3 linked regions of the Stegostoma tigrinum genome follow. The protein of the gene in region 2 purifies or fractionates together with the protein of the main gene of each other region. This does not show direct contact. Links are inferred from orthologs where the notes say so. Each region holds a gene or a part of one and is shown on either strand. Other genes may lie near its edges. The genes, in order: snx7, snx4 and sorting nexin-30.

Evidence for each region.
Region 1: the proteins of snx4 (region 2) and snx7 purify together in Homo sapiens (affinity purification with mass spectrometry; 3 studies listed by BioGRID and IntAct, counting the BioPlex papers as one, with this or other methods). This does not show direct contact. The link is inferred for Stegostoma tigrinum from reciprocal best matches to the Homo sapiens genes SNX4 and SNX7.
Region 3: the proteins of snx4 (region 2) and sorting nexin-30 purify together in Homo sapiens (co-immunoprecipitation; 4 studies listed by BioGRID and IntAct, counting the BioPlex papers as one, with this or other methods). This does not show direct contact. The link is inferred for Stegostoma tigrinum from reciprocal best matches to the Homo sapiens genes SNX4 and SNX30.

The regions. Positions count from the first base shown.
Region 1 is NC_081361.1:81,509,218-81,517,133, forward strand, and holds the start of snx7 (sorting nexin-7), read right to left. Parts: upstream 3,087-7,916; 5' UTR 3,040-3,086; coding exon 2,920-3,039; intron 1-2,919. UniProt on the Homo sapiens protein: Involved in the regulation of endocytosis and in several stages of intracellular trafficking. Together with SNX4, involved in autophagosome assembly by regulating trafficking and recycling of phospholipid scramblase ATG9A.
Region 2 is NC_081360.1:66,184,630-66,191,587, forward strand, and holds the start of snx4 (sorting nexin-4), read right to left. Parts: upstream 3,066-6,958; 5' UTR 2,888-3,065; intron 1-2,887. UniProt on the Homo sapiens protein: Involved in the regulation of endocytosis and in several stages of intracellular trafficking. Plays a role in recycling endocytosed transferrin receptor and prevent its degradation.
Region 3 is NC_081356.1:32,264,436-32,272,285, reverse strand, and holds the start of sorting nexin-30, read right to left. Parts: upstream 3,099-7,850; 5' UTR 3,078-3,098; coding exon 2,817-3,077; intron 2,811-2,816; exon of another isoform or gene 2,796-2,810; coding exon of another isoform or gene 2,751-2,795; intron 2,596-2,750; exon of another isoform or gene 2,470-2,595; coding exon of another isoform or gene 2,464-2,469; intron 2,372-2,463; exon of another isoform or gene 1,819-2,371; intron 1-1,818. UniProt on the Homo sapiens protein: Involved in the regulation of endocytosis and in several stages of intracellular trafficking. Together with SNX4, involved in autophagosome assembly.

The sequences.
Region 1 (7,916 bases), on a different chromosome or scaffold from region 2:
CCAACCTCTCCCCCGCAGAACGGGCAGCCCTCCGCTCCAACCCCAACCTCACCATCAAACCCGCAGACAAGGGTGGCGCAGTGGTAGTATGGCGTACTGACCTCTACATCGCCGAGGCCAGACGCCAACTCTCCGACACCACCTCCTACCGCCTCCTCGATCATGACCCCACACCCGAGCACCAAACCATCATCTCCAACACCATTCATGACCTCATCACCTCAGGGGACCTCCCACCCACAGCCTCCAACCTCATTGTTCCCCAACCCCGCACGGCCCGTTTCTATCTCCTTCCCAAAATCCACAAACCTGCCTGCCCTGGTCGACCCATCGTCTCAGCCTGCTCCTGCCCCACCGAACTCATCTCCACCTATCTGGACTCCATTTTCTCCCCTTTGGTCCAGGAACTCCCCACCTATGTCCGTGACACCATCCACGCCCTCCACCTCCTCCAGGACTTCCAATTCCCTGGCCCCCAACACCTCATATTCACCATGGACGTCCAGTCCCTGTACACCTGCATTCCGCATGGAGATGGCCTCAAGGCCCTCCGCTTCTTCCTGTCCCGCAGGCCCGACCAGGCCCCCTCCACCGACACTCTCATCCGCCTAGCGGAACTCGTCCTCACACTCAACAACTTCTCTTTTGACTCCTCCCACTTCCTACAGACTAAGGGGGTGGCCATGGGCACCCGCATGGGCCCCAGCTATGCCTGCCTCTTTGTAGGTCACGTGGAACAGTCCATCTTCCGCACCTACACAGGCCCCAAACCCCACCTCTTCCTCCGGTACATTGATGACTGTATCGGCGCCGCCTCTTGCTCCCCAGAGGAGCTCGAACAGTTCATCCACTTCACCAACACCTTCCACCCCAACCTTCAGTTCACCTGGGCCATCTCCAGCACATCCCTCACCTTCCTGGACCTCTCAGTCTCCATCTCAGGCAACCAGCTTGTAACTGATGTCCATTTCAAGCCCACCGACTCCCACAGCTACCTAGAATACACCTCCTCCCACCCACCCTCCTGCAAAAATTCCATCCCCTATTCCCAATTCCTCCGCCTCCGCCGCATCTGCTCCCACGATAAGACATTCCACTCCCGCACATCCCAGATGTCCAAGTTCTTTAAGGACCGCAACTTCCCCCCCACGGTGATTGAGAACGCCCTTGACCGCGTCTCCCGCATTTCCCGCGACACATCCCTCACACCCCGCCCCCGCCACAACCGCCCCAAGAGGATCCCCCTCGTTCTCACACACCACCCTACCAACCTCCGGATACAACGCATTATCCTCCGACACTTCCGCCATTTACAATCCGACCCCACCACCCAAGACATTTTTCCATCCCCACCCCTGTCTGCTTTCCGGAGAGACCACTCTCTCCGTGACTCCCTTGTTCGCTCCACACTGCCCTCCAACCCCACCACACCCGGCACCTTCCCCTGCAACCGCAGGAAATGCTACACTTGTCCCCACACCTCCTCCCTCACCCCCATCCCAGGCCCCAAGATGACATTCCACATTAAGCAGAGGTTCACCTGCACATCTGCCAATTTGGTATACTGCATCCACTGTACCCGGTGCAGCTTTCTCTACATTGGGGAAACCAAGCGGAGGCTTGGGGACCGCTTTGCAGAACACCTCCGCTCAGTTCGCAACAAACAACTGCACCTCCCAGTCGCAAACCATTTCCACTCCCCCTCCCATTCTCTTGATGACATGTCCATCATGGGCCTCCTGCACTGCCACAATGATGCCACCCGAAGGTTGCAGGAACAGCAACTCATATTCCGCCTGGGAACCCTGCAGCCATATGGTATCAATGTGGACTTCACCAGTTTCAAAATCTCCCCTTCCCCCACTGCATCCCTAAACCAGCCCAGTTCATCCCCTCCCCCCACTGCACCACACAACCAGCCCAGCTCTTCCCCCCCACCCACTGCATCCCAAAACCAGTCCAACCTGTCTCTGCCTCCCTAACCGGTTCTTCCTCTCACCCATCCCTTCCTCCCACCCCAAGCCGCACCCCCAGCCACCTACTAACCTCATCCCACCTCCTTGACCTGTCCGTCTTCCCTGGACTGACCTATCCCCTCCCTACCTCCCCACCCACACCTTCTCCACCTATCTTCTTTACTCTCCATCTTCGGTCCGCCTCCCCCTCTCTCCCTATTTATTCCAGTTCCCTCCCCCCATCCCCCTCTCTGATGAAGGGTCTCGGCCCGAAACGTCAGCTTTTGTGCTCCTGAGATGCTGCTTGGCCTGCTGTGTTCATCCAGCCTCACATTTTATTATCTCGAGATTGAGTAGATTACTTTGTACATGCCTAGGCACATATGTAAAACAGTTTATCTAGGCAAAATGGCTTTTTTAAAAAAAAGGCTCAATTTATCTAGTTCTCAAAACTAAAAGCACTTCAAAGGAGTGGGAACTTTCCCCTCTCCCTCATAATCCAAAGTCAGACAACCGGGGGGTGTGCAGTCTGGACTTGAATTCACTCACGGCATAGGTGTTTGCTAAGCATTGACATCAAGTCTCTCCCTGCGACTGCAGCAGAAAACTCCCAATCCCCAATTTTCATGGAATGCGGCAGTTAAACAACAAACTGTGCTGATTGTTTTATTGCGTTTGCAGAAATAAAACAATAAAGAATGGCTCCGCCTGGGAAGGAAGAGACAGATACAGTGGAGAGTCGAGAGTGTGTGTGTAAACAAAAATCACTGCTTTAAAAAGGGCCGCAAGTCAATTCTCTCTTGGAAGAGTTTCCACATTCACATCGCAGCAGATCCTTGGCGGCGGCACAAGCCCCAGTGTACAGGCTGCGGTGGGTCGGCGGTACCGACGCCTACACTAAACTTTAATTGGGGAGTTGGAGAGGGCTCCGGTACTGGGCGGGGGGAGGGGCAGAGAAACTAACCTTACTGAACACCTCCAAGTCATCGTCCTCGTCATCCTCAAAACCCAGCACGTCCTTAGACAGCGGGTGAGGAGCGGCCGCTTTCGAAGTTTTACCGCCGGCCAAAGGCGTACTTTCCATCGCCCTCAGTTCAACAGCCGCTGATGTGTCAGCCCGACCTACGCCCCGCCCCCTCACCCGCCCTGCCGCTCGGCCCCGCCCCCTCATGGGCCGGTTCGGCTACGCACTGACCCCGCCCTTTCACCCAAGACGCCTCACCCACGGGGCAAGACATGGGCTGACCCCGCCCTTTGACTCCCCGCGGACTGACCCCGCCCCCTCACCTCCTGCGGTCCTCCTCCCTTCCCCCCCAACCTCACAGCCAAGACCCAGACCTGTGCCTGACCCCCTTCTCAGACTCAGTTATGCTAATACCGGATAACGAAGTGTGAAGCTGGATGAACACAGCATCTTAGGAGCTGCTTGGCCTGCTGTGTTCATCCAGCTCCACACTTTGTTATCTCGGATTCTCCAGCATTTGCAGTTCCCATTATCTCTACGCTAATACCATGGGCATTTCACAATTGTCATTGAGTGGTGGAGCATGACAACAGACACTTCGGACAAAATGCCAACCAGATATCCTAAATTAGTCTGGTCCCCTTTACCAGCATTTGGCTCATATCGCTCTATTCCTTTCCTGTTCATATACCCATCCAGATGCCTTTTAAAGGTTGTAATAGTACGAGCCTCCAGCACTTCACTGGCAGCTTATGACCCTACACACAGCATCTTCAGCTTCAAAAAAATGCCCCTTAGGTCCATCTTATATCTTTCCTTGCTCACCTTAAACCTATGTTGTCTAGTTTTGGACATCTGTGCCGTGGGAAAAAGACATGGGCTATCCTGATTCGGGGGATGGCAGGGTTGACATATGAAGAAAGACTGGATTGACAGGGCTGTACTTGCTGGAATTTAGAAGAATGAGGGAGGGAAATCTTATCAAAACATAAAATCTTGATGGGTCTGTACAAGCTATTTGGGGGAAGAATCTCGATGTTGGGGAAGTGCAGAACTAGGGGTCTTAGTCTTTAGAATAAGGAGTCAGCCATTAAGACCAAGCTGTGGAAGAATTCCTCCACTCAGAGATTTGTGAACCTGTGAAATTCTCTCCCACAGGAAGCTGTTATAGTTAGTTTATTGGATATATTCAAGAGGGAGCTAGACGTGGCCCTTGCAGCCAAAGGGATCAAGGGGTATGGACAGAAAGTGGGAATGGGATGCTGAAATTGCACAATCAGCCTTGATAGTATCAAATGGTATTGCAGGCTTGAAGGGCCTATTCCTGCAGTTATTTTCTACTTTTCTAAGTTGTGGTCACTGTTTCCCAAAAAGATTCTTCACAGGGACACCATTAATTAGCCCTTCCTCATTAAACAACATCAAACTCAAAATAGAGAAGGGTTCTGTAGAAGGGCCACTGGATCTGAAACATCAACTCTGCACTGTCTCCACAGAAATCACCAGACCCACTAAGGATCTCCAAAAATCCCTGTACTTTGTTCTCAACTAAAAATAGCATGGTTCCAAAGATGAGAAGTTCCAGGAGGCCAACTACCTCGGACATTACTTGGTAAAGACAGGAAAATTGACACCAGCTTGAGTTGAGAGATAATGGGAACTGCAGATACTGGAGAATCCAAGATAACAAAGTGTGGAGCTGGATGAACACAGCAGCCAAGCAGGATCTTAGGAGAACAAAAGCTGAAATTTCAGGCCTAGACCCTTCATCAGAAAAGGGGGATGGGAAGAGGATTCTGAAATAAATAGGGAGAGAGGGGGAGGCGGACTGAAGATGGATAGAGGAGAAGATAGGTGGAAAGGAGAGTATGGGTGGGGAGGTAGGGAGGGGATAGGTCAGTCCGAGGAGGACATGAAACCATGCAGAGGCTTGGGGACCAGTTTGCAGAACACTGACACTCGGTTCGCAGTAAACAATTGCACATCCCAGTCGCGAACAATTTCAACTCCCCCTCCTTTCCTTAGATGACATGTCCATCCTGGGCCTCCTGCAGTGCCATAATGATGTCACTCATAAGTTGAAGGGACAGCAACTCATATTCCGCTTGGGAAACCTGCAGCCCAATGGTAACAATGTGGACTTCACCAGTTTCAAAATCTCCCATCCCCACACTGCATCCCAAAACCAGCCCAGCTCGTCCCAGCCTGCCTAACCTGTTCTTCGTCTCACCTATTCCCTCCTCCCTCATGAAGCCACACCTCCATTTCCTACCTACTAACCTCATCCCGCCCCCTTGACCTGTCCGTCCTACCCGGACTGACCTATCCCCTCCCTACCTCCCCACCCATACTCTCCTCTCCACCTATCTTCTCCTCTATCCATCTTCAGTCCGCCTCCCCCTCTCTCCCTATTTATTTCAGAATCCTCTCCCCCTCCCCCTTTTCTGATGGAGGGTCTAGGCCCGAAACGTCAGCTTTTGTGGTCCTGAGATGCTGCTTGGCCTGCTGTGTTCATCCAGCTCCACACTTTGTTATCTTATACCAGCTTGAGTTGCTGTTTTAAAAGTCAATATGAACAAGAAGAGCATTATGGCCTCGATAATGAGTTCAATATTCTATGGAGGTTCACATAAAGTCTGAAACCTTTATTAAGACCATTGTGATTAACAGGTTATCATTCTCCTCTGCTCATTTTGACGGACTGTAGTACCAACTTTACCCATTCTTTGCAGTTCCATGGCCAATCCCTGAAACACTGCTGCAGGAGAGTTAGGACCTTCCTGGAAAACAAAAGTACTGTTCACTCAAAGGCAATCATAAATTGCAAAGGATCCCAGAGTTGCAAAAATATGTTTTATTCATAAATAATCTTTATAAACATACAAAGTTGCTGAAGCATTTCTGCACAGTGCTTGCACATGAATAACAAGCCTCAGTATTTGGCATAACACGGTGTGAAGCTGGATGAACACAGCAGGCCAAGCAGCATCAGAGGAGCAGGAAAGTATGACGTTTCGGGTTTCTGAAGAAGGGCCTCGACTCGAAACGTCAAGCTTTCCTGCTCCTCTGATGCTGCTTGGCCTGCTGTGTTCATCCAGCTTCACACCGTGTTATCTCAGATTCTCCAGATATCGGCAGTTCCCACTATATCAGCATTTGGTATGTTCTGCAGATTCAAAAAACCCAAAGCATTTCTTACTTGTACAGAACCATATTTACGCACATTTGAGGCACTGGAAGGGTCTGATAACTGAATGTATCCCCTTGTAATTTGGCAGGAAGACCTTAAAAATGGTTATCTTTCCCCACTGCACCTTAGCAGTAGCTGGCCAAGCTTTATTGTGTCCCTCAGCATGTAGCCCTGGACCTCGGAATGTGCCAGTCTGCAATACTTGGTCAAGGTCAACTCTTTGCACTGAAAGACCAACAAGTTTCAGGCAGACCAAAGAGTGTCATTCACCGAGTTGTTTGTCTTCTCAGCGCAGTCAATATTTGTCTTGGTCTGTGTCCCAGGGAACAGACCGTAGTGCATAGAGTCCTGCATCATGGAGCTGTTCAGTGCAAACCTTGAAAAAAAACCACTGCACCTATCTCTAGATCTCCTTTGCAAAGGCATAATCAGGAAGGAGATGTCTGACAGTTCCACCCCCACTTAAAGGGCACAATGCTATGGTAGAGAGACACTCCAGGCGTACATAAAAGATCTTGCACTACATAAAAGATCTCGCAGGTAGTGCCCATCTCACTGCCAACCATGCTACTCCTTCGTGCTTATTGAGAGGTTTTGGTGATGAGGCAATCTGCCAATTGACTTTGACAGTCTTCTCAGGAGCCACTGAACAAGATCACCTCGCCTCCTCCTGCGGAGTCTTGGGGGTGCTAAATGCTGACCACTGACTGATGGACTTATGATCAAAAGATGTTTATAGTTTGATCCCAGGGTTGGCAGGAGTGGTCCTGAATTGGTTTTCAGCTTGTATTGACCAGGTGAGAAAAGGTAATTTGATCTCCCTGTTTGCAATCTTCACCAGGCCACTTGCAACATATTTTCACTTTTTGAAGCTAAGTATCCCACCTCAATTACAACAGAACACTTGTAATAATTTAGGTTTTCTTGACTGAGAAAAGAGGAATTTTCTGATTTACTAATCCTGAGAAATAAATAAATTTTAACATCAAAGACTCAGAACCCAGATGATAATTTATACAAGGAGAATGTCTGGTGTATACAGGAAGAATAAAGACTATGTGCTTTAAACATTATTAGAGATATTGAGATGTTAAATTTTTAACATGAGACCATTCTCAAAGTCATTTTTCTTCTCTATGCCGCTTAAAGCAGCTACTGAAATATGGTTCATTGCTAAATTCCCATGTCTGGTTCCACTGTCAGTGAACTCTTGTCTAATAGCTGCATTTATTATTCAAATTTGAATTAAAGCAGGAGATGCAAATTCCTTGATGTTGGCTCAGTTGTATGGTTTCAAGGCCTTTAGACAAATGTTACCTTTAATTCAAATGGTTTTATTCCATGTTAGTGTCTTGGATGTGCCTCAATCTGTGATCAGATGATTGCAGCAGCAATTTTACAGCAGTAATCTCTCTTTTCGATAAAATTAATTTATGCTTCATTGGAGGCTGCACTGATGATGTTACCCAGCAGGGTAATACAAGTCTGCAAACTAATGAACCAGCTCAGTGAGCAAACCAACCACAGCATCCAACCCCGAGCTACAAATCAACTCAAGAATATTGGAAGCAAATATGCAGGGCAATGATAGTCAAAGTGGCCTTGAAATTTCCTGACTAAGAGTCACTCACGTCTATGACGCAGGCAGTCACGAACCAGCTGGAATGATTGTACGGGCTAAAGTGGTATTTTATATATGATATGAAGAATATGGCTATGGATTCCAAAATCTACCTTTTCCATGTGAAATTAAGATCATTCTAACATTCAATTTGGTCCTACTCTTACAAATTTTAATCTCATGAAT
Region 2 (6,958 bases):
ATCAAAATACTAGGGTTACCACATACCAGAAAGTGAACTAGGCAAGACATAAATAGCTTGAAGAGCATATCAGAGGCTCATTACCCAGTAGCAAATAACTCACCTTCTGACCATCTACAAGCCACACATGACTGAATACTCCTCATGACCTGGACACATGCAGCTCCAACAAGACGAAGAAGTTTGATACCATTCAGGACATCGCTATCCACTTGATTTAACACTATACCCACAAACATTCACCCCATCTATTACCAATACTCAGTAGCAGCAGTGTGCACCAGCTACAAGATGCACAGCAACAACTCACTAACGCTGCTTAGTCAATAACTTCCAAATCCACAAGCACATTCATCTATAAAGATGAGGATAATAGATACATAGGTACACCACCAGCTGCAAGATCCACTCCAAGCCACTCATCATCATCAGGACTTGGAAATATATTGCTGCTCCTTCAGCATCACTGGTTAAAATATTGGAACTCCCTCCCCAACAGCTTTATGAACGCAGCTGTCTACAAATGGACTACAGTAGTTCAAAAAGGCAGCTCAACATTGTCAGCCTGCCATTGAGCAGGCTGACAGCAAATGCTGGCTCATCTACCAACAAAAAAAAAAAACATTGGTTAAAAATCCATCTCGTTCACAAACATCCTTTAGAGGGGGGAAAGAAAATCAGTCTTCCTGCAGACTCAAAAATAGCCCAGAGAGCCAAATAGATTTTGTTCAACAAGATGAGTTAACATGACTTTCTGAAAAACAATTGAAATGGACAAGACATACCAGTCATATCCACAAATGATGCTACTAAAATTAATGTTGCATTTAAATTATTCTCCACCAGACAGGTGAATACAGACCAGATAATTTCCTTTAGGTTTATTATACGAGTTTAAGGGTTTAGACATTGTCTATGAAACAATGCCAGCGGCAAATCAAGAAAATCAAACTAATGTCAAAGTACAGCAATTTACCACACTGTGCACAGTTTTATTATACAGACAAACACTGAAAATATTCTGAAATTTGTGCTCCTCAAAATTAAGGAGTTCACAGCAGACGAGGCAAACAGTATGCATAACTCAGTCTAGTTTAAACATTAGAAGAAAAGTGGACAAGAAAAACAGAATAACAGAGGAGGCCACATCAAATGAAGAATTATACAACACCTAATTGTTGCAAACTAGACTGCAAAAGACCTGACAAAGGGGTTCTTCTGGTACCAAAGGCATTGTTACTACTTGAGCCAGTCCAACCTACTCCAGAGCTGTGTTATAATATCTGACCAGACTGGATTACAAAACATCTCAAACATCTGACAATGAGAATCTAATCAGAACAGTACAGCAATGGGCTGCATCGACACATGATCCTCTTCCAGCATGTAATTTCAAAAGAAAAAAAAATGTTTACCAAATGTTTTTGATGCTTAGGTGAGCTTCCACAGAATCACTAAAGTGTAAACAGGCCACTCAGCCCAATGAGTCCAGACTGACCCTCCAAAAGAGCATCCCACACAGGCCCAGTAACTCTGCATTTCCTATGTTTAACCCATCTACACCCCTAAATACTATAGGCAATTTAGCATGACCAATCCACCTAGCTTGCACATCTTCAGACTGTGGGAGGAAACCTGACCAACTGGTCAAAACCCACACAGACATGGGGAGATTGTGCAAACTCCACACGCCGTCACCAGAAGGTGGTAGCTAACACAGATCACTGGCACTGGCACAAAGAGGCAGTAGTGCTAACCTTTCAATCTACTGGCTCTTCTGAGGATGTTTGTTTTAAAATATTTTCAAAGCAAGTTTCATTTTAGTTGTATCTCTATTCTTATTTTCTACCAAGAATACCAGATCTTTACCCAGTATGCCCACCCACCCTAAAAAAAATCTTTACAGACTACATTCAGTCAAAGAAAAAAGTGAATAAATGTTCACTTGTGGCAAATATTTTACTTTGTTAAAACCTTCCTAATTTTTGGAACAAAACTGTAAATAAGCATTAGTTGGTACACATTCTTTTGCATTCTCTTTTGATGATTTGATTTTTTAAACATTTTAAAGCCAGAGGTTTGAGACAAACATCTCTTTCCATTGAGAAAAAAAGTCCCTCAATTCTCAGTGCATTCTTGCCAATAAACTCAAGTTATTTAACAGCAACAGAAGTACTTTAGAGTAAAACATAGTTAGACAATTAAATTCTCAACATAAGTGCATTATGTCCAAAGATGTTGGTTTTAATATGCCTTGCTTTTTCTAAGAACCACTAATGACAAATGCTTCCAAAGCTACTTATTAAGAATCTGTTCAAATACTAAATCTAAAATCTTTCAACAGAGGTTGGAATATTTCGGGCTAAAGGATGTTATCTCTTGCCCCTGACAAAAAGTCACTGGACTCTAAAACTATCTCTGCTTTTTCTACACTTGCTACCAGAGCTGCTGAGTTTCTCCTGCACGTTTTGTTTGCGTTTCAGTTTCTTGCTGGCTTGGTTTTATTGCTATAAATATCTGCTTAGTTAAATTAATATTCGAAGTTTTAAAGTAGGACATTTGACTCCGATTGGTTTTGTTCTTGGAAAGTCAGTGCTTTTTTTTGACATTTCAACAGCTTCTTTCCAGGCGGCCCCAACGCTGAGCTTTGTAGCTAGAGAGTTTAAAAGGTAAGCCCAGACCAGCTGGCACACAGATCCACCCACGGCAAAACCCATTCAACACTCACCTTTGCTTTTCCCTATACCGGCCAACATTAGCACCCAGTTCAGTCTGCCTACTGCCAAGATCGCTCATATTATACCAAAATCGCACAATCGAAGTTTTTAGTAAAAAAACACCGATTGACCGTTCATCTACTTTCCGATAGATATCTATGTTCAGTTACCTGCAGGAGAATGCACTATTGGAATACCTCAACGTCAAGTCTATCTTGACCCCTAACAAATGAAGGAATTGAACACTGTCAGAACGTAGTGTAAGGATGCTAAATCAAACAATAAAAGACTCCGGCACGCTGCCCGCCATTAAAGATGGCCTCCGTGAACCATCTGCGCATGCGTAGCGTACGAGCGGACCTAAAGATCACGTGCCGCTGATTGAAAGACACGGGATTCAAGCGCGTGCGCCATTAAGGTCCTTTTTTTGGACGTCCCCACACCCGCATGCGTACACGCTAGATCTCTTTCCAAAGCTCCGACAGCCGAGTCATTAAGAGGTGCGCAAGTGTGAACAAGCGACGCATGGGCGAAGTAAATATTCTCCTCCCCCTTTGAAACGGGACGTATGACGCAGCCGAAAGAGATTGTTTTGTTTTATTCTTTCATGGGGTTTGGACGTTGGTGGATGCCTATTTCTAATTTCTCGACCGGAAACATTAACCCTGATGTTCATCCACAGAATCTGCCGGACCTGCTGAGCTTATCCGGCAATTTCTGTTTCTGTTAGCAATTATGTGCAGAAGGAGATTATTCACCCCATTTTATCTGCCCTGGCTCTTTGGGCATTTTAACTTGATTGCCAAACTTCTGCTTTTGACCCTACCCCTCCCTGTTTAAACAGTTATTCAGGCCCTCGTGAATGTCTCCATTGATCCAAACTCCAGCACACTTGTGGCAGACCTGACCTAATCTGGTCCACTGGCTATGTAAAAAGTCTTTTTTTGCCTTATATCAAAGGTTCTCCCCATTGACGGGGATGTACTAAACAAAACTGAGATACTGATAAGTCCTCAATCAGTTAGAGATAGCAGGAACTGTAGATGCTGGAGAATCTGAGATAACAAGGTGTGGAGCTGGATGAACACAGCAGGCCAAGCAGCATCAGAGGAGCAGGAAAGCTGATGTTTCGGGCCCAGACCCTTTAGCTTTCCTGCTCCTCTGATGCTGCTTGGCCTGCTATGTTCGTCCAACTCTACACCTTGTTATCTTTAATCAGTTAGTAGGTTTTAATTTATTAACATGTGTATGTAAATTGCCAAATTCCCTTCCAAGTCATGGTCCTGGGAGAACTAAAGTTTTCATCAGTGTAAAGGAGAAGTGACATTTTAGGTCAGGCAATGAACGTTAGGTTATTTAGAATCTCAGATAATGGGAACTGCAGATACTGGAGAATCTGAGATAACAAAGCGTGGAGCTGGATGAACACAGCAAGCCAAGCAGCATCTTAGGAGCACAAAAGCTCCATCTGAGGCAACCACCGAGAAACCGATATCCATTTCAAGCCCACCGACTCCCACAGCTTCCTAGAATACACCTCCTCCCATCCGCCTTCCTGCAAAAATTCCATCCCCTATTTCCAATTCCTTCGCCTCCCCCGCATCTCTCCTAGGATGAGGCATTCCATTCCTGTACATCTCGGATGTCCTTTTTTTCAAGAACCACTGCTTCTCCCCTGCAGCGGCCGAGAACGCCCTCGATCGTGTCTCCTGCATTTCCCGTGACTCATCCCTCACACCCCATCCCCGCAATAACTGCCAAAAGAGAATCCCCCTCGTCCTCACATACCACCTCACCAATCTCCGGATCAAACGCATCATCCTCCGACGCTTCCGCCATCTGCAATCCGACCCCACCACCAAAGACAATTTTCCATCCCCACCCTTGTCTGCTTTCCGGTGGACCACTGTCTCCATGACTCCCTTGTCCGCTCCACACTCCCCTCCAACCCGACCATACCTGGCACCTTCCCCTGCAACTGCAGAAAGTGCTACAATTGCCCCCATACCTCCTCCCTCACCCCCATCCCAGGCCCCAAGAAGACTTTCCACATCAAGCATATGTTCACCTGCACATCTGCCAATGTGGTATACTGCATCCGCTGTACCCGTTGTGGCCTCCTGTACATCAGGGAAACCAAGCGGAGGCTTGGGGAACAGCTTTGCAGAACACCTACGCTCAGTTCGCAATAAACAACTGCACCTCCCAGTCACAAACCATTTCAACTCCCCCTCCCATTCCGTAGACAACATGTCCATCCTGGGTCTCCTGCAATGCCACAACGATGCCACCCGAAAGTTGCAGGAGCAGCAACTCATATTCCGCTGGGGAACCTTACAGCCCAGTGGTATCAATGTGGATTTCACAAGCTTCAAAATCTCCCCTCCACTACTGCGTCCCAAAACCCGCCTCCCTAACCTGTTCTTCCTCTCACCTATCCCCTCCTCCCACCTCAAGCCGCACCCCCATTTCCTATCGACTAACCTCATTCCACCCCCTTGACCTGTCCATCCTCCCCAGACTGACCTATCCCCTCCCTATCTCCCCACCTACACTGACCTCTACTGGCTCCATCCCCACCTCTTTAACTCGTCTGTCTCCTCTCCACCGATCTTCTCCTCTATCCATCTTCAATCGCCTCTCCCTCTCTCCCTATTTATTTCAAAACCCTCTCCTCCTCCCCATTTTCTGATGAAGGGTCTAGGTCCGAAATTTCAGCTTTTCTGCTCCTAAGATGCTACTTGGCCTTGTTTAGGATCTGTTTATTTTAGTTTGGAGTCAGACTGGTTTTATTTCTAAAGTAGGAATGTATAAAACTCCACATTGACTGACTGTCTATAAATTGTGTTATTCTTGAACAAAATACAATGTATGTGCAAGTACAAATTCACCCCATGAGCTCTTGGATTTGTCTGTGTGAAAGTGAGTGTGAGTGTGCATGTGTATGAGAGATGGGGGTGGGGGAGAGAGAGAGATGCTTGAGAGACAGACTGTGCATGAGAGAGGATCTGCGTGAGTGTATGTGAGAGAGTGTATATTGTATAGCGGTCAGCTGTAGTGCGACATGAATGCAAGATCCCGGCTGAGGCCGTCATCATTGGTATCGAACTTGGCTATCAGCCTCTGCTCGGCTTTTTATAAATTCCTACTTTAGAAGTAAGACCAGTTAGACCCCAAACTAAAACACAAGCAGATTCTAAGCAAGACCTCATACCTAACATGCATTGACTGACGTAAAATGTCAACTCTTCTTTACACTGAACGAGTATGGTGTAGACATTTGATCTTTTACTTGTAAATTTTGTGTATAATTCTACCTGTTTCACTAACACCTGAAGAAGGACTGATGCTCTGAAAGCTTGTGTTTTCAAATAAACCTGTTGGACTATAACCTGGTGTCATGAGATTTCTAACACTGACCTATATAGTTAAGCGTAGCCTCCATGCTCTGATACTGTATGCCCGTGTGAATACTGTATGCTTTATTATTAGGTCTCTCTACCTGCTCTGCCATCATTAATGATTTATGCAAATATACACTCAAATCCCTCTGCTCCTGCACTCCTTGTGGAACAGTACCCTTTGTTTCATATTGTCTCTCCTTTTTTTTACCAAAGCGCATGAACTGCCACATCTCAGTGTTGAACTTCGTCTGCCGTCTGTCTGTCCACTCCACCAACTTGTCAGTGTCCTCCTCACGTAACTTGTCGTTGTCCCCATGCAAAGACCAGTAAATATTTATTGTTGTATTTCTGGTTGTGGACTGAATTGGGAAAAGGACTGTTTTAAAAACAAAGGCTTGCTGCTCATTTTAAAAGCAATTTGCCTGACACTCACTGTAAGCACTCTTTATACAGCAGTGAGTGAGGGGGAATGGAGACTCTAATTGCAAATAAGCTGGAGCTGAAGAGTAGGAGATCAGTTTGGTGACTGGTTGTCAATGTTAAAAGATCAAAAACTATGTGAAAGGCTCCCAGGTGACTGAAAATCTGTTTGGTGTGAATGTTTACGCAAATACCATTAGACCTCCAGAAAGGAAGGAGCTGATCCTTTCCTCTGTAGTTAAAATCTCAAACTTGAAGAAAGCCTGTTTATGTGCTGTTATCAGTTGCTGTAAGCTGTGGCTCTTAACCAATAAGTCAGAGACCTTGTAAGTCTGAACCAGTCATCCTGTGCCCCCTACAAATACGTGAAAGTATCTGGAGAGGCAAAAGGAATCATCTCAGTGAACCCTAGTCTAT
Region 3 (7,850 bases), on a different chromosome or scaffold from region 2:
TTAGTAAGAACTTTCCATATCCACTGAAAGCTAAGGAACATTATCATACAGCAAGTGGAAGAGAGATCCTGCAAAAAATCCATTTTTAAACATTCATGTGGACCAGATGTAAAAATTCTTCCAATAAATCAAAGTGCAAACATATGGTACTGCACTAGACTAAAACCTTAGATTGCATACTTGTTGTCAATATTTCTAGTCATCAGCTGAACTCCATTAACTTACGACTACTACTGATGTTGAAGTAATCTCAATGTGAATTTTGGAATATTACTGCCTATCTTGCAAAAGAATGTATGAACTCATGGCCAAAACTATAATGACACCATTTTAACACCCCAGTTTCTGTGGCAACTCACAAAGCACCTCCAACACAGCAAGCATCCAAGAGCATTTGGCAGGAGCATTGTCAATGACCAAATCACTAAGGAAGACCCAGACAAGTGGCCAAAGGTTTGCTAAGGGAATAGTTTTTTTTTCCCCCCCCTCCCAAGAACATCTTAAAAATAGCAAGGGGAGGGTTCCAAAGCTTAGACAAAACCAAACATGAATAGCACAGCTATAAAAGACATCCAGAGGAGTTGAGTTGAAGAATTATAAAGTCTGCAAAGCCAACAGATAATGTGAAATGAGGACACTGAGTAAAATGATCAATAATTACTACAATTTAAAAATGCAAAAGGAGAAAACTGTCCCAAATATAACCACAAGGCATCATGTATACCTTTACTAGAGATGACATGAAAGCATGACATGTGGGATGTTATATTATAATTGAGAAAGTGAAAAAAACTCCTGGCTTTTCTACAAGACATTCTTTATCATGTGCTAAACTGCTGTAAAGAGGTTAACAGAAAATTGTTAACCATTTTCCTTTACTGACAGAAAAAGGGTGAACAATGAACACCAAGTGAGTTTTGAGAAGATTTGTAGCTCAGGTTGAGGTTCTGGATGAGAGATTGCTCGCTGAGCTGGAAGGTTAGTTTCAGACGTTTCGTCACCACTCTAGGTAACATCATCAGTGAGCCTCCGACAAAGCGCTGGTGTTATGTCCCGCTTTCTATTTATCTGGTTAGGTTTCCTTGGAAAAACGCAGGAAATGACATCACCACCCCAAGGAAACCTAACCAGATAAATAGAAAGCGGGACATAACACCAGCGCTTTGTCGGAGGCTCACTGATGATGTTACCTAGAGTGGTGACGAAACGTCTGAAAACTAACCTTCCAGCTCAGCGAGCAATCTCACATCCAGAATGAACACCAACTAACGTAAACAGGACTGATCAGATTTTCACATGCATGTTAGGAATAAGTGGCTGAGGGGATCAGAGGTTGGTGGTGAAGAAGAGTATCATAAAGGAAGAGATAGATTTCCAAATCAGTACTTAATTTAACATGCATGAGAGATAGAATACCAGAGACTAAATGATTCACAGCACCTTGGGAAAAAAGTAAAATGTTCAGATTCATTTAACTTTACATGACAAAGAGCCCTCTGTGCAAACAGAGAGGAATCCGAAGCAGAAACACAAGGAAAATGCAGGTAAACTTCAAAACGTAAGTATCTATGGCATTGCAAACTGCAAATCTATTGGCTACTGCTGAACAGTTATTCAGATAATTAGTTTCAAGAGAAAATACTTTCAGATTGCTGACCTCTTGTCATGGGCTGCAAGAAAAATAATGAGGAAGTAAAACAGCACATACAGCTGTGGGCCTGTGAGCAACATGTTTGCTTCTGAATCAGAAGACTAGATCAACACCTGTAGTAAAGATTTGAGCTTGGATAGAAAGAAAGGCTGACACTCAGTTTTTACCTCACTCAAAGAACCACACTCCTGATGAGATATTAAACAGAGGTATCCCCAGTGAACGTGGAAACTCAGCTGCTCTATTTCAAGCACTAGTTGTGTCCTGGGGCCAAAACCTATACTTCAACCAATCACCAAATGGATTGCCTGCCAAATTCCAGGCAGAAAACAGATCACCCTTAAGTATTGACCTTTTCTCTCTCCACACAGGTAAACTGAAAGATCCCCTATCGAACAGGAAAATGCAACTCCTGCAGTCACATGTAATCTCACTGCACTACTAAACATTTTCAAACATCCTTGCCTACTCTCAAGTTCAGCCTGCTTTTACCCAGGTGCATTTGCACACCTACAACTGCAGGGGGTCACCCAAATCTTTGAGTATTCATTTCCAAAATGATGCTATTAGAAATGCAAAATATTGATCTATGCACTATTGATGGAAGAGAATCCTAGAAAACCCTACTCCATCAATCCCAAACATCCCACATTCCCCCAAATCCCAATTTCTCCTCACCCCATCAACTAAACCATACCTACTGTATCCATAACCACAGACCACACATCATTCCAATATCCCCACCCACAAAACAAAACCACCTCAAGGCACCCCCAAGCCATCAGCCCCCCGCCATAAACAAACCCACTCACCCACATAATCAAACAAACACACGGCCAACACTATCAATCCCTATGCAACCGCATAAAACACAACACTATCACCCATCCCCTATCTCTCCTCATCGACCCACTACAGCCATCTTTCTTCCCCCACGGGGCCCATATCCCCTGCTCCTTTACTTCCCCCTCCCCACCCAATTACCACGACCTCTACCCTTTCCTCCAGGACACACCCTACACTCCTCATACAGTCCCAGGTCCCCAAACACGCTACAGCGCCCCCCCCGCCCCACTCATCCCATGCTCATTACTATTACCACAGTCCTCACGACATCCTTCTCCTTCCCCTGCCGGTCTCCCATGGTTACGGGGCCCTCCCTCACCTGGTCCCCTCCGCTAGCCGCCGGCTCGGCTCCCGATCCGGGTTCGGGTTCAGGCTCAGGCTGAGGCTGAGGCTCGGGCCCGGGGGACAACAGCTCCTCCGCCGACAGCGGATGCGACACGTCGCAGATAGACTTGAGCCCCGAGGACGGTAACGGTCTGCAAAGCGCCGAGCTCATCGTTACGGAATCGCTGCCTCCTTCGCCTCCCCCCAGTACTGCTACCGCCGCCCCACCTTCTCGCCGTTTCTCTACCGCCTCCATTTAAAAAAAACCACCGGTCCAGCTCCGCCTCCTTCTCCCCGCCCCACCCCACCCCCACACACGCTTGAGCAGCCCCGCCACTGCGCATGGGCCGGGAATCCGTTTCCCTCCTCTCCGCCGGCACGGCAGGAGGCGCTGGAGCGTCGCTCAGCTGCTGCCGCAACCGTCACGTCGGCTCTTGTCTACACCCGACTGTCCCCTGACTCTTTGTTTGTTCCACACGCCCCTCGTTCCGCCGCACCACAGGGTGGCGCCAGCAGGCGAGCGACGGTGGACTCTTCCTCGCCGCCAGGTGGCGTGCAATGAGAGTGGTGCTGCTGGCCCTTGGGAACAAAAACCGTTTCGGACCCAGAGGAAGAGTGGGAAAAGTGAAATGTATCAAAAAGATGTATTGGACAGACTTGCATTTATGTAAAATTTATAACAGGGAATGCTTTAAGTACTCAGAACGTCTTGTACAGTACTATTGTAATGTCGAAAACAAAAAAAGCTTGCATTTGTATAGCGCCTTTAATGTACTGAATGACTCGAGGCCAAAAATTTAATCGAATGTAATCCCTGCACACAGTTGAATGAAATGATCGTTTAGATGGTTGACTTCCATGGCTTAGCTGGTAGTAGACTGGCTTCTGCAGTGTAGGGTTTCAGGTACAAGGACCACTTCAGAGTTTGAACACACAAATCAAGACTGCCACTCCTAAATGGTAATGTTGGGATCTCATATTTGAATCTGATGAGAAGCCATTTGTGTCCTCAATGAATGTAAAAGACCATGTGACTTTTTTTTCAAAGAACCAATGGAGAGTGATCCCTTATGCCCTGGCCAACATTTATACCTTCAAACAACATCACAAAAATAGGTTATCTAAATGTTATCATATTCCTGATAGTGGGAATGTCCTGTGCACAAATTGTTGCAACAGTGACTACACTCCATAAGTATATAATCGGCTATGAAGCACTTTGAGACATCCATTGCTTGTGAAAGTTATACAAATTCAAGTCTCTTTGTTTTCCAAATATTTATCCTCAGCTGTGAATGTGCTTATTACTTCTCTAGTTCTCATCTAATATTTGACTTCTCTTGTACTGTTATGCTACTGCATAAGTAATACTTCAGCAACTGTTGCTCGTGTCCTTTTTCTGTCTGATCATCTTTTCACCTTGTTTCAATTATTTATCTTAATCCTGCAACTGAAGATTGCCTTCACAGGATTTGGAGAGATAGATTGTTCTCCGGTTGTAACCTTTTTTTTCGTCCATTTCAAGTCACTTTGTTTAGTTTGAACTTGTTGATTATCAGCACACCATTTGAACAGAGCAGCAACAGAGATGGAAAGAAGTGTGACTTAATGATATCCTCCTCTATGTATCCAAAGATCTGCAGGTTAAGCACTGGCCTGCACAGTGATATGGGGATTCATGACAGAAAGAGTAGGCATTGACCTCAAGTTGAAGGACAGCAGATGACAATGACCCAGCACATTCAGGATAAATCCTTTTAAAGGTGGTAAAGATACAATTTTCCCATTCACTTGTGAAGTTCAGTAGAGTACTTCTGGAATGGGATGCAGGAAGTTAGAATTTGGTGTTAGTAAAATGCTAGGGCGGGAAAGCACCGCATGGTCCCTTTAAAAGATTATGTGCTTTTTCTGTGCTTAGAGAGTTAAATGGATGTCTGCGAGTGGCAGTTTAAATATTTGCAAGTTCACAGAGATCATCCGAATTGAAACATTTGTATCAAAAGGCTGTACAGTAGCAGGCTAGGCAGCAGTTTTTACCAAAACAACAAGCTTTAAAATTTAGCCAATTAATTTGAACCAGGCACTTAGATCCCAAAAAACCTATTAAATTTGATGGTTTTGACATCATAGGGACCAACCCTATTGTAAGAAATATTGATAAGCTATCAAGGGTATAAAAAGGGAGCAGTTGGACAAAACCCAGAGAGCTAACTGCCATTCGCCAGAGCTAACAGCCCTCAGCCCTCGAGTCAGAATCACTGGCTCTCATAGCCTCATCTATGTCTTAGGGAAAGCACCATCTAAATAACAAAGTACCCACGGCACAACTAGTTAATATTTCTGACAGAAGCATCAACAGAGAAGGCATTCCTGACTGAATAATCAATGGAGAAAGCACAGAACATTCCAGAAGACACGTAACCTGGTTATAATGCTGAGAGTCTAAACTCTATTTTAAATTTATACAAGTGGGTCTTTTATTAGAATAGCATACCATGAGAATTTTTTTTGGGAATAGTTAGTAGTTAGAAGGGAGTTTGTTAATAGTTTAATTGATTCATTCACTGTTAGAATTAGGTAAATGAATTGTTACTTGTTGATTTTTAAGCAACTGTCAGGGATTTATTTTATTTAACCACTGGAAGTTGCTGAAAGGCAGGTCATACCACTTTACACACTCTTTTCACAGATTATATAATGAGGTGCTCCTCTTTGGGTGTTTCAGTTTTAGCTCTCAGAGGGGAATCAACCTCTGCTTTATAAAAAAGTGGAGGTTTGTTCAGGATTTGGCAGAAATGAACAGACTTGGACAGATTCGAACAGATTTAGAGTATGAAAGGTCCCAGCAGATTTAAACAGAATTGAGGACCAGTATCCTTGATCTTTAAATACAATGTAAGTGAAAGTGAAAAATCTGCTTAATGTTGGTTGCTTGTTGTTGGTAAAATAGCTCTTAACAATGCTAAAGAGGTTTTCGGGGTCAAAGATGCTTCCCAAATTTGCCAAAAAAATTTAGAAAGACAGAAGACGGTGACACTTTTAGAATTAGTAGACAGGCTAAAATTGGGTTTCACTTGGGATAATAAGAAAATTGAAATTGTGACGGAGTTAGTCAAGAATTTAGGTATATCAGAGAAACAGTTAAGTGCAGTAGAGTTAGAAAAAAATTAAATTGCAAATGAGACCCTGGAGTTAGAGGACAAAGAAAGGGAAAGAAGGTTTGTAGCTGAACAAAACGAAAAGGAGGGAGATGGGGAGAGAGAGAGACTTTGACCTTCAGAAGGTGACAGACAGGGAAGCCAACGTAACAGGATGGAGGTGAAGGTAGAAGGTGGACTTAGTGAGAAGGATAGTGATGATGAGCATACCCATTGTAACCAAAGGCCTGGTATGGATATATTTAAATATGTCCAAACCTTACCAAAATGTGATCAAAAAGATGTAGAAGCTTTCTTTTATTTCCTTCGAGAAATTGACTAAACAGAGGAACTGGCCAGAGACTGTGTGGGTAACGTTAATTCAGACTAATTTGGTAGACAGCACTGGTGAGGTGTGAGCAGCGCTCTCAGAGGAAGTATCAGGAACGTATAAAGAAGTAAAACAGGCTATTTTGTGTACCTACGAATTGGTACCAGAAATGTAAGAAAGGAACCAGGTCAGACTTATATCGAGTTTGAAAGTATTTTTAGCAGAGCAACTTTGATAGATGGTGAAAGCATTAAAGGTAGCAAAGACACATGAGGATCTTAGAGATATTCTGCTGGGAGGAGTTTAAAAACTCAATTCCAGAAATGATAAGAACTCATGTTGAGGAACAGAAAGTTAAAACAGCGAGAAGAGCTGCAGAGATGGCAGATGAATATTTATTTATGCATAAAACAAAATCTAGCTTTTGCGAGCAACTTCATTCTGTGATGGATAGAAATTGGGAAAGAGGGAGATGGTTCAATGAACAACAAGAAGTAGATCACACTGGAAACAGTTTACCACATATGAAAAAGAAACCCAAGAGGGTGAAAAAGAGGTGCAAGATCTCAGGTGGATTCACTGCAATAGGGTGGGACACACCAAGTCACAGAGTTAACGGATTAAGAAAGGCAGTGGGGAAAAGGATGTGGTAGAAGAAGCTGAATCAGTGGGATTAGTTGAGATAGTGAAGGAAATCCCAAGGGAAATCAAGGGGCTGCAGGACAGTGTACAGCCTACTCACAGGCTAGATAGTAAGATAGTGCCCAACTTTTTCAAAGACTTCAACTCAGGTAGAACTGAGGAAAAAGTAAAGAAGTTAAAATATTGAAGGTAAGGAAGGTAGTCAGTCTGATGAAAAGAGATGAAAATATTTATATTTCTTCTGAAATATTGCCCAAGAGAGTGGTAAAATGTGGAATAAATGGAGAAAGGAGTAGTGTTCCCCTGTGTAAAATAAGGCTAGAAAGTCCAGTCAAGACTGGGAAAGCAATAGTGTGAGTGATGGAAAAATTGGCTATTCCAGGAATACAAGATAATAAAGTGTGAAGCTGGATGAACACAGCCGGCCAAGCAGCATCTCAGGAGCACAAAAGCTGACGTTTCGGGCCTAGAGTCTCTGATGAAGCGTCTAGGCCCGAAACGTCAGCTTTTGTGCTCCTGAGATGCTGCTTGGCCTGCTGTGTTCATCCAGCTTCACACTTTATTATCTTGCATTCTTCAGCATCTGCAGTTCCCATTATCTCTATTCCAGGAATACAGTTTATTCTTGGAAACCATATTGCTGGATCACAGGTGGGAGTGAAGCCCATTGTTGTGGAAAAGCCAGAAGAAAACCAGGGAGCTGAATATTTAAAAGAAAAATAGCCTGGGATTTTTCCAGACTGTGTGGTAACAAGACCCCGTAGTCGTAAGTTAAAACAAAAAGGGGAAACAAAAGAGAAAGATGATGGAGTTGAGGTCCACTTAGCTGATAACCTGTTTGTTGAGATGGTAAAGTAAGAACCTATGAGGATCAGGCAGAGGTGTTTGGTTCTGAAAGATTAATGGAATTACAACAAAA